2 linked regions of the Cricetulus griseus genome follow. The protein of the gene in region 2 interacts with the protein of the main gene of each other region in a pairwise test. Links are inferred from orthologs where the notes say so. Each region holds a gene or a part of one and is shown on either strand. Other genes may lie near its edges.

What was found. The genes of interacting proteins can lie anywhere in the genome.
Region 1: the proteins of Kpna5 (region 2) and Anp32b interact in binary tests that used the Homo sapiens proteins (3 or more experiments, as listed by UniProt). The two-hybrid records come from large-scale screens. The link is inferred for Cricetulus griseus from reciprocal best matches to the Homo sapiens genes KPNA5 and ANP32B.

The regions. Positions count from the first base shown.
Region 1 is NC_048595.1:96,952,285-96,959,621, forward strand, and holds part of Anp32b (acidic leucine-rich nuclear phosphoprotein 32 family member B), read right to left. Parts: intron 3,161-7,337; coding exon 2,932-3,160; intron 1,097-2,931; coding exon 972-1,096; intron 1-971. UniProt on the Homo sapiens protein: Multifunctional protein that is involved in the regulation of many processes including cell proliferation, apoptosis, cell cycle progression or transcription.
Region 2 is NC_048595.1:257,196,722-257,204,074, forward strand, and holds part of Kpna5 (importin subunit alpha-6), read right to left. Parts: intron 5,384-7,353; coding exon 5,305-5,383; intron 3,335-5,304; coding exon 3,209-3,334; intron 2,263-3,208; coding exon 2,135-2,262; intron 1-2,134. UniProt on the Homo sapiens protein: Functions in nuclear protein import as an adapter protein for nuclear receptor KPNB1. Binds specifically and directly to substrates containing either a simple or bipartite NLS motif.

The DNA of each region.
Region 1 (7,337 bases), about 160 Mb from region 2:
GCTACATAACACCCCCCCCCACCAATCCCTCATAAAAAATTAAATGGAAAGAGGGATATACTTTAAAACAGTTATAATAACACATTAGGGTGAAACTGTTATTTTTAGGTCGTTGGCTGCACAGAGATGCTATTTTTTTTTTTTAAATGAGCAAAATTCTGGAGAGATGGCTCAGAAGTTAAGTCTTGTATGTTCATTCAGAAGACCTACATTTGGTTCCCAGCACCACCTGCTAGCTGTAACTCCAGTCCTAGGAATCCAATGCTCTCTCTGACTTCAGAGGGTACCAGGAATGTATGTAATATATAGACATATATGTAAACAACTCATATACACACATTCAGGCACAGCCTGTATTTTTAGTGGTTGTTATCCTAACCACTAAAAAGGGATGGGGTGGACAGGTGGTCAAACATTTAGTCTATCATAAGCTACGAAGTGAGACCTCGGTTCAGTAAGTAAAATAAAATTATCCTTAAAATAGCAATGTTCAGAAGTAAGCAGTTCACCAGGTAAGCTTTAATTAGCATGCAACTTAAAACAGAAACCTCAATAAATGTTTTTAACACTGCAGTACTGGTTTGGACAGATTTTTCTCTGTTTGTGGTGTAGGGCTATAACCCAGGACCCTGTACAAACAATTTTGAAGACACAGTCTTGTTTAGCCTAGGCAGGTCTTGAACTTGAGACCTTCTGCTTCTGCCTCCCAGGTTCTGGGATTGTAGGCATAAAATACTTTACAAAACTCAGCTATCTACTCTTTCAATGTAGAACTTTGGACCACAACTCTACATAATTTCTTTGGTAACTTGAAAGGTAATTCAGACATTAAGTGCTATTATGTATCTAGGCAGCATTGAGTAGGCATATCCCATATTAAGACAAAAGCTGCCATTATCAGCCTTTGCCTGTCTTCCTACCACACCTCTTTGTCTTTACACTAACAGAAGGGAAGAAAACAGTCACATTACCTCCCCACTGACTTCATCTTCATCATCTTCTCCTTCTACATCTTCGTCTTCATCTTCATCCTCTTCTTCATCATCCTCCTCTTCTTCACCATCCTCATCTTCTTCTTCATCTTCATCTTCTCCTTCTGAAATAATCCAAAAGAGAAATTACTAAATCTGGGCATACTTTTAACCCCAGTACTTCAGAGGCAGAGGCAGGTGAATCTCTGGGGCCACACAGAGAAACGCTGTCTCAAAAAACCAAAAGAAAGGAAGAAATTACTGAATAACCTTGATGACCCACAGGGTTTAACTGGAAAAGGTCAAAGTTGGCTTACAATAAGTTGGTAGGCTCTACAAACACTAGGAAAGACTTAGAGCTACCCCCCCTTCTTAATCCCAAAGGAGTATCCTAAAATCAAGAAGTTTCAAATAATAATCTATATTCTTTTGTTTTGAGACAGGGTTTCTTTGTGGCTTTGGAGGCTGTCCAGGAACTAGCTCTTGAGGACTAGGCTGGTCTCGAACTCAGAGATCCACCTGCCTCTGCCTCCTGAGTGCTGGGATTAAAGGTGTGTGCTACAACCGCCCGGCCCATATTCTTACTGAATGAAATCTGCCTCAATTTCTACAGGAAGAGGGCTTTCTACTCCGGCCATGCCTGAAAAATCCAGGAGTTTATGACCAGCCCCAGCTACCCAAGACAGTCTCAACACCTGCTCCTCCAAACAAAAATGACAAGCCACTCTAGGAACAAGTACCTGATAGCAGCTGTGAAGTCAGGAACTCTTTAAGGCTTAAACCCTGGCCACAGAATAGTCTGGGCTCCTGGATCCCCAGTGCTGTCCCCTTCAAAAGCCTCCAGTTCACTGTGGGCTCCTGCCTGCTGTCCTTCCAGTTCCACCTGCCTATCCCCAGACTGACTTTCAGTCCCTACTTCCTTCCTGCCTCCTTCTGTCTCTCTCAGGCACTTGGTGCCTCTTCATTTCAGCACCCTTTGCTTGAGCTCCAGACGATTACAGTCTTGTCTTTTTTAATTTTTCTTTTGCTGTCCTCAAGAAAGAACTAAGGGCCTTCCACAAGTCAAGCAAGCCTTCTACTATTGAGCAACATATCCTCACCCTTGGGCTGTTTTGCTATCACAAGTGGCTAACTAAGGTATATAGCTCAATGGCAGAATGTGGTATTTACAGTGAACTTACAGAACTACAAATAACTTAGGAATAACTGGATATGGACACTTTGAATAGGGTGAACTGACCTACTCGGCTCACTATCCTCTTGTATCCCATTAATTTTGCCTGTCTCCAGCTGCTGCAAACTAACCCCCCTGTATAACTGTAACTAAGGACTTATGTCTTTCCTCCTTTGCTTTCTTGTACGTTTTCAAAAGTGCTAAACCACCACTCCTGGCTTTCAATTTCAAAGACTATCCAGATTCACTCAAAAAATATAAAGACACTTAAGCACATGAAAAACTTTTAATACTTTCATGAATAAAAAAGCAGAACCTAGTTGGGCAGTGGTAGCACACGCCTTTAATCTCAGCACTCAGGAGGCAGAGGCAGACAGATCTCTGTGAGTTCCAGACCAGCCTCATAGCCTCCAAAGCCACACAGAAACCCTGTCTTGAACACCCCCCCCCCCAAGCAGAACCTAAGATAATGTGCCTTGAAGTTTGTGGGCCAGGCACTGAACTAGGAAGGACAGTAAGCAGAGCCAAGGAAGGGATGACAGAACAAGCTCTTCAAGCATACAAAGGACTTGCATGAAGCAGCCACTGAACACTTGGCTCCACAGAAAAATAAAAAAAAAAAACCCTGGGGCTAATAAAGCCATTTGATTTTCAAGGATTTTAGGGTTAAAAGCCCGAAGAGTTTATAGAACGAAACAGGAACACAGGCGCACACACACTGAGCAGAATCACTGCCAGGGCTCTAGAAAGACAGAAGTCAGGTCACAAGATACCCAGTTTACTCACCTTCATCCTCTTCCTCCTTGTCCACACCATCCACCTCGGCATCGGAGTCGGGGGCTTCCTCTACACCATCCACCTCCACATCCGAGTCAGGTGCTTCCTGGTCCTCCCGGTCATAGCCATCCAGATAGGACAACTGGGGCAGGAGCTTAAAGACACTCTCCCGATAATCATTCAAATTAGTGACCTCACAGCCAAACAGATCCAAACTTTTAAGACAATCCAGCTTTTTCTAAAAGAAAGAACCAAAAAACACAATTCCTAAATCAAAAGAACAAGTTACCAAACCACTTTCAAGAGGTAAAAGTCTAAGCTCCATATTAGTTGCTACCCATTCATCCCTGTACACAGGAACACACTATGCTTCTGGCTCCCCTAGAAAACAATGTCTTTTCCCGGTAGCAACAGGAGTCTAAGTGTGATCTAGCTGAAATGTACCCAGGGCCCACCCATGAGCAGCACTGGAGGATGGAGTGAAACCTGGCACGAGGTATGCCAGCCTGGGCAGAAGGGTACCCAAGAGCTTAAATTTCACCAACAGAGAAACCTCACACTCCTTTTGTCTCTTTTAAGATCTTTGGAAGAGGTTAACATTACCAGACTTCTCTAAAGTAAACTTAAGGCATTGTCAAATACAGTATGCTACCTTCTAAAATAGTACAAATAGCCTACTACAGTACAGGTGACTTTCTTACATGTGTGTACACAGACAGATACACATTCAACTTTTATTAATTCTAAAAATTAAAAGTTTGGTCCTCTTACAAAACTAAACAACAACAACAACAAAATCAATATGGGGACAAGGAAGTAGCTCATTTGATAGTTTGCCCAGAGCCATGGATTTGATCCCCAGTACCACGTAAACCAAGTGTGGTAGGGCAGGCCTGTGATCTCAGCACACAGGAGGCTAAACGATCATAAAGTCAAAGTCATTGTCAGCTACATGAGACCCCCCCTACACACACTCAAAAGGCTCTGGATGAAGCAAGTTTTAACAAATCTAACAATGACACTTCACACAACATAGAAGAAACTTGGATCCAAAGAACTTTGTTTCAGGACTGAAGGCATCTCTGTAATTCTCTGCTTTCAAGGTTGGTTTTAAAAGGGGCTAATCTGGCTCAATAACTAATTTTGTAAACTAAAGCTTTGTTTCTAAGACAGGGTCTCTCTATATGGCCCCGACTGGCCCCAAACCAAGTCTGCACCTGTCTCCCAAGTGCTAGGAGCAAAGGCAGGCGCCACAATGCCCAGCTAAAACCAAGTTTTACTGGCACACAACACTCATCTGCTCATCTATCACACACCTCCTCTCAGACTATACTGACAGTTGAGGAGCTATGATACAGACTACTGCCAACCAAGCTTCATGTTTGCATTATCTGACCCTCAAGGAAAGGGCTGTTGACCCTTACAGAAGACTCTTCATCCCCTCACCAGGAAAAGGCTTACATAAGCTTTATTGCCAAGAGTAGTCTCTGGAACACAGAACCAGGGAAAACCCAGCAACAGGGTTATAGACAGATGTCATACCCACAATCGAACACACAATGTACAATGCTTTAAGAGTGCTTACGAAAGCCAGCTCTCAGATGTCTCGGGAAGGCAGGCTCAGCCCTGCCAGTTCTAGGGGTGGCTGATTTTCTAGCAGGCGACTTTCAGATTAGGTTTCCTACTGGGCAGGCCATGACCTTAGAAACCCAGGTATGATTTCTTGCCAAAGAGGAAAAAATGCTGTAACAGCATCCCAAATAACCAGCACAGGTTGTTTACTAGCTTTCTTTTTGGAGACAGAGCCTTTTTATATTGCCCAGGTTGTCCTAAAACTCCCGACCCCCCTCCCCCGTCAATCTCAATCTTAAGATCTAAGAGTTCTATACCATACCTGGCTATAGTAAGAGCCGACTCTATTCCAAGTAAGACATAAAAGGAAAATCAATTTACACAGCTTCCTACAAAAGTTTACTCTAATGTGCTCCTCCCTTTTCTGAAGTGTATGTCTCACCACGAAGCCTTTGTCTCAGTCCTCTTGCTTTGGCCCCTCGGGTAGCTGGGACGACGTTATACATCACGATCCCTGGATTGCCTAAAATTATTTACCCAGTGGAGTGGGCCACTGGTGAAACTACTTTACAGGGCCACCGAGGAAATCCTGTTTCTGAACAGCATTGATCTTAGATGTTTGACAAAGCACCCATTATCAAATAATTTGGACATGCCAAACAGTATAGTAGGAAATCAAATATAAGCAAGTTAACAGTAACAAACCCAACAGAAGTACAGCACTCTGCAGATTGTTTAAAGCAGTAAAATTGTACTTACAGCCCAGCAGGCTCAAAATACAGATTATACAGGATCTCAATGTGATATGTAAAACCCTGCTGAAAACTTAACAACTGTACCACGTCAGAAACTTGACCTAAGCTAATAGGCTAGCCATAATAAACATTAAACATTTTTATTAACAATAATATTGCTTGCCTTCTTAGAATTTAGAAGGGCTTTGGGGGATGATTTGGATGGCCCAGGTCTCTTAAAAAACGTGTCCCAGGAAGTTTGAACTGATGCCTTCTTTGTCTCTCGTTAATGTCCCTGTAGCAAGCAGAGGCATTCACAATCATTGCATTGCCTGTCAAAACTGGGCTCAACGCAGTGTTCACAATGTGTGGTGATGAGGATGAGGATGGTGTTTTCCCCACTCTAGAACATTCACAAGTCAAAAATGGATCTAGAGTCTCCCCCACTAAACCTTTCCTACAGATTTCCTTTATTCTAGGTGAGAAACATGAGGCCAACCTAGCTCATGCTTTTCCAAGCAGCTTTGGGAGTACCGAGCCATGGTAGCTCTGCCAGTTATGTCGGAGCATCATCTAAGCCTTAGTTCCCTCAATGTAAAATAAGGGCCATACTATTTCTATTCACTTTGTAGAGACGTTTTTTAACAACTACCATAGGCTCTACAGGGCACCATTATAGCACACCCACTACAGTAGTACAAGCATAACAACAAAGATTACACACTTCTCTTTCACTGTCTTGGGACCCTACTCTCTTACAGCCCAGAACAGGAACACTCAAGCAAACAATCCATGCACAGTATTTGTCTGTGCTCTGCCTCAGTGCTAATAACATTGACACAGGATTCCCAGAGGATTCAGCCTCCAAGACAACCAGCTGGTTATCAGCAAGGAAAGATACTCTCCGTTTAAAACACACACCCCCACACCCACCCCTATATAAGGGGTGCTAGTCCTCAGCTTGGCACAGCCCAGAATAAAGAGATCTGGCACCAAGCAATAAACACAGGGTTGGCACAAGACCATGGGGAAGTGTGTCAGTGTCAGTATTTCTCTGGGAATTTGATTTTCCTGAAATTTAGGTATAGACTCAATTTACATGTAGAAAGAAAACAGGTCCCAAGGGCAATGGAAAATTAATTGAATTTGGATTTGATCCTGCCATTAATTCCAAATAATTACTTAAGCTTTCTAAACTCAGTTTCCTCTTTAAACAGGACAGCCATTCTTTTCTTCTCTGGGTTACAAGTCTACAATGAACAATTATTAAATGTCCTTGGATACAGCAAAACGCAGGGCATTATCTGTAACTTGGAAATGGTCCGCTCTACACAGAAAAAGTGAAACTAGCAAAACTGAGGGAGTGGGATGGATGGCAGAAAAAACAACAAACATAAGCTCAAACACGAATATATAACGGGACTTAGTAAAGTGATTAAAAACTGCTTCAACATTTTCAACTGTTGAAGACCCCTTTAAATCTATCGGGACATCTTCACTGAAAGAAACCGAAATCTGCCTTCCTCCATAATGTCAACAGACCAATTTAACGGTCTTCCTCCAGAGTACTGAGAGAGCAGGTTTTGGTTTTGTTTTTGGCTTGACAGGGTTTCTTATAATCCAGGGTCAAGCTGGCCTAAACTTGCTATGCTTGGTGGATGACCTTGAACTTCTGATGCCCCCAGGATTAAGGCATGAACCAATGTGCAGTTTATGGAACCCAGAGTTTTGTGCATTCTGAGCAAGCATTCTGCCAACTGAGCCAAATCCACAGCCCCCAACAGAGCATTCTTCCAGTGAGCTAAAACGCTTTATTTTCTAAACACATGCTGTCTAATTCTCACACTCCAGCCTGAGGGGCTGCCTCTCTCCTGTTACTAACCCTGACTCTAGAATCCCCACAGCGGCAGAACTCTCACTGCCAACAGTTTTCCAGTCAACAAAATACAATGTCTTCCTGACTGTCCTGAACTCTTAAGTAAGGCAGGGAATACCGTCTTCTCTGCTTAGTTTGCTTAAGGCCATACATACCAGGTTTACAAGCCAAAAGACACTTAAAATTTGGTCTCTGTAACTAATCTACATTAAGACTAAAAATCTACTTCTACC
Region 2 (7,353 bases):
CCGCTTCTTCTTATAAAAATAAAGTGATTTTTCTTTTGTTTGACAAAGAATTCATACGAACCACAAAGTGTAAAAACAGGCTTTGAAACCAGATTGCATGCTTTTAAATCCCCATTCCATTTCTAATTAGTTATGTAACTTTGAGCAACTGCTCTCTACCTCAGTTTCCCAACAGGAAGTATTTTTCAAAAGTTTCAGCTCCTTTGGAAAAGGAGTGTGTGGGGGCAGGGGCACTTAGCACTTGCTGTGCAAGGGTTACCTGAGTTCATTCTTGGAACTCACAAAAAGAAAACTGACACTAAAGTGTCATTCTCTGGCTTCCACATCTGCACTGGGGCACATACCCACACATGAAAAAAAGAAGGTATGCACTCAACTTCCAAGTAACTGATCAAAAACATTTTTGAATGAATAATTATCTCATGGGTATAAAAATATAAAAATACCTGGTGTAACCAAAATGACTTAGCCACCTGAACAATAACTGGCAATAGTCAACACAACTGTTGAGGTATGCATGCTGAATCTAATCTGAGATTAAGACATTTTCTTCCTGTATATGTGATTACTTTCAGATTGACACAGATAAAAAGAACAGTAGTAATAAAAAAAGACATAACAAAGACTTCTACTACTGCTTATATTTATGACACAATATAAAGGAAATACTAATTAAAATAATAAGGGAGAACAGAAAAGCAGCAGACACAGGTGATATCTCTATACACAAATACAAAGGTGACAGTATCTATGAAGGTAATGAAAGACAATGGTCTATCGAGGTGCAGTGGCACATTATAGCTCCAGCACTTGGAAGCCTGGCCAGGGAAATAATGAGAATAAGTTACAAAAAGAAAAGGTGGATAATGAAAATACCTGTTAGCATAATAGAGTTACAGATGACTTATTTTAAAATATTTTCCCCCAAAGGGCATACTAGTACACACCTTTATTCCCAACAATCAGGAGGCAAAAGCCAATAAATGTCTCTGAGTTCAAGGCCAGCCTGGTCTATATAGTAAATTCCAGATAAGCCATAGCAACACAGTGAGATCATGTCTCAATACACACACACACACACACACACACACACACACACACACACACTTACACACATATACATGTATGTATACATATATTGTCAAATATTGTACTATTTTATAAGAAAGGTGTATGGCACTAAAAAAGGCAGACAATGGTATGAATTTGTCTCTAAAAATATAAGAAACAAACAAGATAATGATCTAACATTTGGTAGACTTAAAAATCCTTTGGTTCATTAAAATAGCATCATAATTTGACTAATTTTATACGTTTTTAAGAGTTATATATTCATTAGAAACTGTTTCTTAAATAGTGACTTCAAGTTTTGTGAAGGGCATAAGAATGAGATTATGTAGAGAAGTCAAGCTTATTTGAGGTACAATGTGTGTCTTTGCTGTAGACTGAAGATATACGATACAAAAAGACTGAAATCAATACTTGAAAATGACAATTCCAAAAGACACCAGTACTTTATTCTACTTGAGAACCTAATGCTCATTAAGCACTGTGCTGTGCATGTGAAGTGCATACATTTCACTTTTGATATGGTTACTCAATTCATTAGCAAGAAGAAACTGGACTAGAAAGGTTAAATGACTCTGTCAAAATTGATCCTGTCACAAGTTTTACTGAAGGAGCAGGACTTGACCAGGACTTGGCCAGGCTTACTTAAAATCATGTATCAACTATGAATGCGGTCAGTATTATACATAATAAAAGGCATAGATTAGAAAACCTAGTACAGAAGGAAAAAGACAAGTAGTGCACAGAAGTATTACCCTATCTGCTGGCAAGGCAACAGTCAATAAGGAGAGAGCACAATGAACAAATGCATACTTTTATTTTACTTTAAACAAGTTGATATTCATATCTGTTACTTCTATATAATAGCTAATTAATTTTAATGCTTAAAACATATCTAATGCTCATGACAGTATATTCTGCTAATCAACAAATTCTTCCTATTTGAAATTCTAATCTCTGTATATCAAACAGACATAAAAATGTTAGTTTCACCAATAAATAAAAATGTTTTTTTCATACTGTCTGACTGGTATTTAAAAGACAATGTTAAAGAATCGGAATCCACCTTATTTGCTCTGGAGTGCCTCCCGATGTGGCATTAGTTATAGCCCACGCTGCTTCTTTTCTGGTACGAAATTCTGCTTTCTGGAGAACCTCGATCAAAACAGGGAAAATACTTGCATCTATGACAGCCTAAGAAGAAAAAATGATCCAACACAATTAGTGCAAATACTGTTTCAGAACTGCCACATGGGCACTTCAAGAGTAAGGCTTTAAAGAGTGAGTGTGCTGGAGGATGGCTCGGCAGTTACAAGCACTTGTTGCTCTCTGCAGAGGACCTGGGTTGGGTTGGTAGCAACCACATTAGGTGCTCACAATGACCTGTACCTCCAGTTCCAGGGGATCAGATACCCTGGCTGCCACAAGACCTGTACACTTTGTGCTTTCCATAACTCACACAGGCACACAAGCATACACACAATTTTAAAAATCTTAAAATGTGAGAGGGTTTAGAAAGATTCTGTTTGTCATCTGTCAACACTTTAATTGATTTCTTTTGTAAAAAGAAATGAGCTTTTTTTTTTTAAAGATTGGAGAATGCATCAGTAAAAATACACATCAAAGGTGATTAACTGTAGGCATGTGATTAACCAAATGGGTAAGTATTCTTTGGCTCAAGAAACTTGACAGAACCTAATAAACACTGAAAGCCATCTGAAAGACAATTCCCAACATTTAAAACTGATGGAACCCTGCCCAGACAGGGTCTCCCCATGCAGTTCATTTGGGCCTCAAAAATCATCATCCTGACTCAGTCTAGTTTAAATCTTATGCTACACCTTTTTTAAAAATCTTTTTTCCCCTCAGACAAGGTGTCCCTGTATAGCCCATTTGGCCTCAAAATCACAATCTTCTGCTTCAGCCTTTTAAGTACCAGTATGAGCCACTGTGCTCAGCAGAAACCATCTATTTCTCAAGACTAATTTCATGTATCAGATACTTTTATATATGTAATTATTGTTCCTCACTAGAATACAAAACACAAATGGTATTATTTAGAGAAGAAAAGGCCATGTTGAACGCCAGGCATCTCAGCTTAGACCTTCCTATTGTAATCTCAACTCTGAAAGGCGATTACCTGGATCTGAGCTCTGTTTCCCGCAGTGATGTTAGAAATGGTCCAGCAGGCTTCCTTTCTAATTGACTCCTTTGGACTACCCAACAAGTGCAAGAGGCAGGGCAATGCAGAACAATTCAAAATGACCTAAATGGGTAAAACAGAAAAAAAGGGTTTTAGTATAAATGCAAACTTCTTATGAATTACTGAAGTACAGAAATCAATCTGAAAAACAAAGAAATAAATTCCTCTGGAGGTGAAATTTAGGCAACTGCTAACTTGTACACCCTGCTGCTAGAAAGCTTATGTAGTGCTAATGCAGTTCTCCACTAGAGTGTGAATCAGAGACATGTTCTTCAAATATACAAATTAAAGTAATACAACTATAGCACTATCAGCACAGATTATGTTTTGAATCAAGTAGGGGAGTCTTGAAACTCAAGACTTTGAAAAAGTTATGATTTCTGGTCATACCCATAGAAATATCTGCAAAATTCAACTTAGAAAATTACTTGAAGAATGACTTTGTGATGGAAGAGAGGGTTTAACCTCATTTTCATAACAAATTACTAAATGATATTCTTTCTCATACACATTTCTACAGCATTATAAAAATTTTGAAGTAAAGAATAAATCTGTACTGTTTTTAGAATGTGGTTTTTATAATGAAGTATTGCGTGGCACATGCCTTTAATCCCAGTATTTAAAAAGCAGAGACAAGTAGGTTTCTATGAGTTCAAAGCCAGTCAGAGCTCCTACTGAGATGCTGTCTCTGACAAAACCAACTGGCATAAGTATTGTCTACTTTGTCCTTTATTCACAATCATCCACAATTTTCGATTTAGTGAGGGTGAAAGGGATGCAGCATCAGTGCCTTGAAAATTTAGCTGGTAAGTGCAGTGTATTCCAATATAGAGAGCTACCCTTAAATGCTTACTCATTTAACAACTTTGGTGAGTATCAAAATAGAACACTAGTCAACATCTGGAGTCAATCTTAACATCTTACCATTCTCCCAAAACAGGCATGGGTGCACAGTTTATCACCAATTCTGGAACCATTTCCTTGCTATCTTCCCTTTGGTCTCATAATCTGATTCTTATGTCCTATAACCTACATATAATAAATCACAACTTCTAGCTAAGTTCTTAAATATACCTCAATTTATCTGCCTTTCTCCTTATAACGGTAAATCTTGTCTCATCTGCTGAAGTACTACTCTACTTATTTATAATTCCACTTATCTACAGAAATTACAGACCTCATCATACTCATCTTTTTTTTTTTTATAAACTTTTAAAGCACTTACTGGATGATCAGCTCGTAGCACATGCATTGCCTTGTTAGTCTGCCTTGTTTTGGGTCTCAAGCTCTACTGATTGAGTTAGCTGGGCACTTTGCTTTATTTCAATGACTTCTACCTAGCTAAGATTCTGAATCCAAACATTAGGCAGACAGAGAGCCCAGGTTGGAGGTCTCCATCAGGTCCCTCCCTATGGAGCTTGCCCTACTGAAAAAGGGTAGGAGGAATTATGGGAGCCAGAGAGACTGAGCACACCACGAGAACACAGTCCAAAAGGCATGGGGGTCAACTAAGCAGGGTTCATGGTAACCTACAGAGACTGAAGTAGCAATCACAGAGCCTGCATGAGTCTGTGCTAGGTCCTGTGCATTGGTTGCTGGCTTGGTGTTTTAAAGGGACACCTGACAGTGGGAGTGGGGGTGTTTCTGACTTTTTTGCCTGTTCCTCAAACCCTTTTCCTACTACTGGGTTGCCTAACCTAGCCTTGATGTGAGGGTTACCTGGCCTTATTGCACTTGTCATGCCATGTCCAGCTGATGTCCCTGGGGGAGTGGAGGGAGGGGAAGCTGCAGTCAGGGTGTATTGTACAAGAGAAGACCAAATTAAAAAGGTTCTGAAACCTCTGAGCAGAACACTTGGTATATTTTGGCTGATGGGGCTCTATGATAGTACCATCCCAATAAGGTAACTGAAGTTGAAAACTGTGCTTACTGCCACAGATGCCTGTATAGTTATAGTAATAAGGCCTTGATGAATATAAAATCAAGTGACATGAAACAATCATCTAACAGTGTGCTGTAAATTCTGAACTCACCTGTGTTTGAATATCGTCACCAGTCACAATATTACCAACTGCTCTTAATGCAGGTGATACAACTTTATAGTCATTGTGCCTAAAAATAAAAATATGAGCTTTTACATCAATAAGGTAAAATCTATATAAAGTTGAAAAAATTATAGACAACTTTCATTTTCTTCACTCAGAGCTCCTACTCAATTTTCACTTACTAATATTTGAAAAAGCAAAAAAATCTAAAGCAGTATCAAACACTATATAACCTCATTATATCTTATTGGGTGACATATTGTATATACTCTGTCTCATTATTGTGGTACTAAACTCTGTACTAATTAAGATTGATATGTTATTCTTCACTATTCCAATTTCTCCTTTATACTCAGTATTTGATGACTATTTGAGACCATGTAAAAATCCCATTCTTTAGCCTATTTACTTTATTTTAGAAATCATAATTACAACACTCCTCCCTTACCTTTTTTCCCTCCAAGTCCTCCCACATACCCCCTTCCTCTGTTCTTCAAATTCATGGTCTCTTTTTCCACAACATGGTCTCTTGTTACTGAATGTATATCTACACACATATATATTCCTAAATATAACTTTTCAGTCCACATAATGTTACTTACATGTATATTTTCAGGAATGAACCCATCCCGTACACTAGTGTTAGTATCTATATGCTCATTATCTGAATTAGTAATTATTTGTATTTTTAATAATCATTTTGCAAAACTATCATCTCCATCATACGCCTTGCCTATCTATTGATCCATCCACATATTTTAATGTGGACTCTTGGGTTGTTGCTATTCACTAATTTATAATAATACATTACTGTAATTTATTTCCAAGCTCATTATTTTCTGTGTTCATCTCATTTTTCCTCATTCTAATCCAATAATTTCTCTAAGAAAGCTACTTCCCTTAAATGAGCAGTGATATTTAGAAACCAAGGGTTGTGCCCTCAGAGCGCTCACCTTATTTCTAGAGAGGTGTCCCTCTTCCAAAAGCCTTAATGCACATGTATACAAGTGTACGTAAAAAGGTCCTTATTTTGAAAGCAGTGAGTTTATAGTGAGAGATTTAATTCTAATCTAACATCAAAGGCCTTTTCCCTTCACGACTAGAAGCCAGTTACTTTAGTTCACATCCTCCTACATATCGATAATTTAACAAGAGAGGCTACCAGGCCATGAGTTTTGGCTCTGAACCTTGTTCTGGCCTGCTTGGCTGCCCACTCTGGTAGAAGTCATTCTCAAGCTAAGGCCTTGACCATCCCACTGCATCTGTCTAGCTCACACTGGAAATCAGCCCTTTAACACAACTCTATTTTTTGTGCCATCTGCCACACTTGGACTAACTAAAGGCCTTTTGTTTTTATTTTGTTCTCAGAGTCAGGGTCTCACTATGTAGCTCTGGCTGGTCTGGAACTTGCTGTGCCTGAATCTCAGAGATCCACCTGCCCCTGCCTCAAGTGCTGGAACTAAAGGCATAAACTACCATGCCTGGTTTACTACCAATGGCTTTTTGACAAAACAAAAACAATTTTAAAGAAGGTTGGAGGATAAAGAAACTACAGCACCTTTTTAAACAAAATTTTCTTTTAATTTCTTTGCATGGAAAAACTGGGATTTTTCAACAATGGTAGTAATGATTATCCAGTAAGAGAAAGATCATGGAGACACTAAATAAATTTTCTAGCTTTATATACAAGTTAATTATTGTAAAGAATAATAAACTAGGCTATTGGTTCTGTAAAAACAATAACTGTTTTCTCTCCCTAATAACATTCACATGTCACCTTTGGTGCTAACAGACATTCTACATATGTTTGTTAAGTTAAGGCTTCTTCATAAAGAAAAGTTTCATTCATACAGAGATTAATTTACAAAATAATTCCCTTGTACTTCAGAAATGTTTATTGATGGACCAGTATTTAAGGATTATAGCTACTCTATAAAGGGCAGAGTTAGTAACTTTTCAATTCTTCCTATAGATGTTGACATTTTGAAATATTTAAGGACATGATCTTAACTGTTAAACTTAGTATACAATAACATA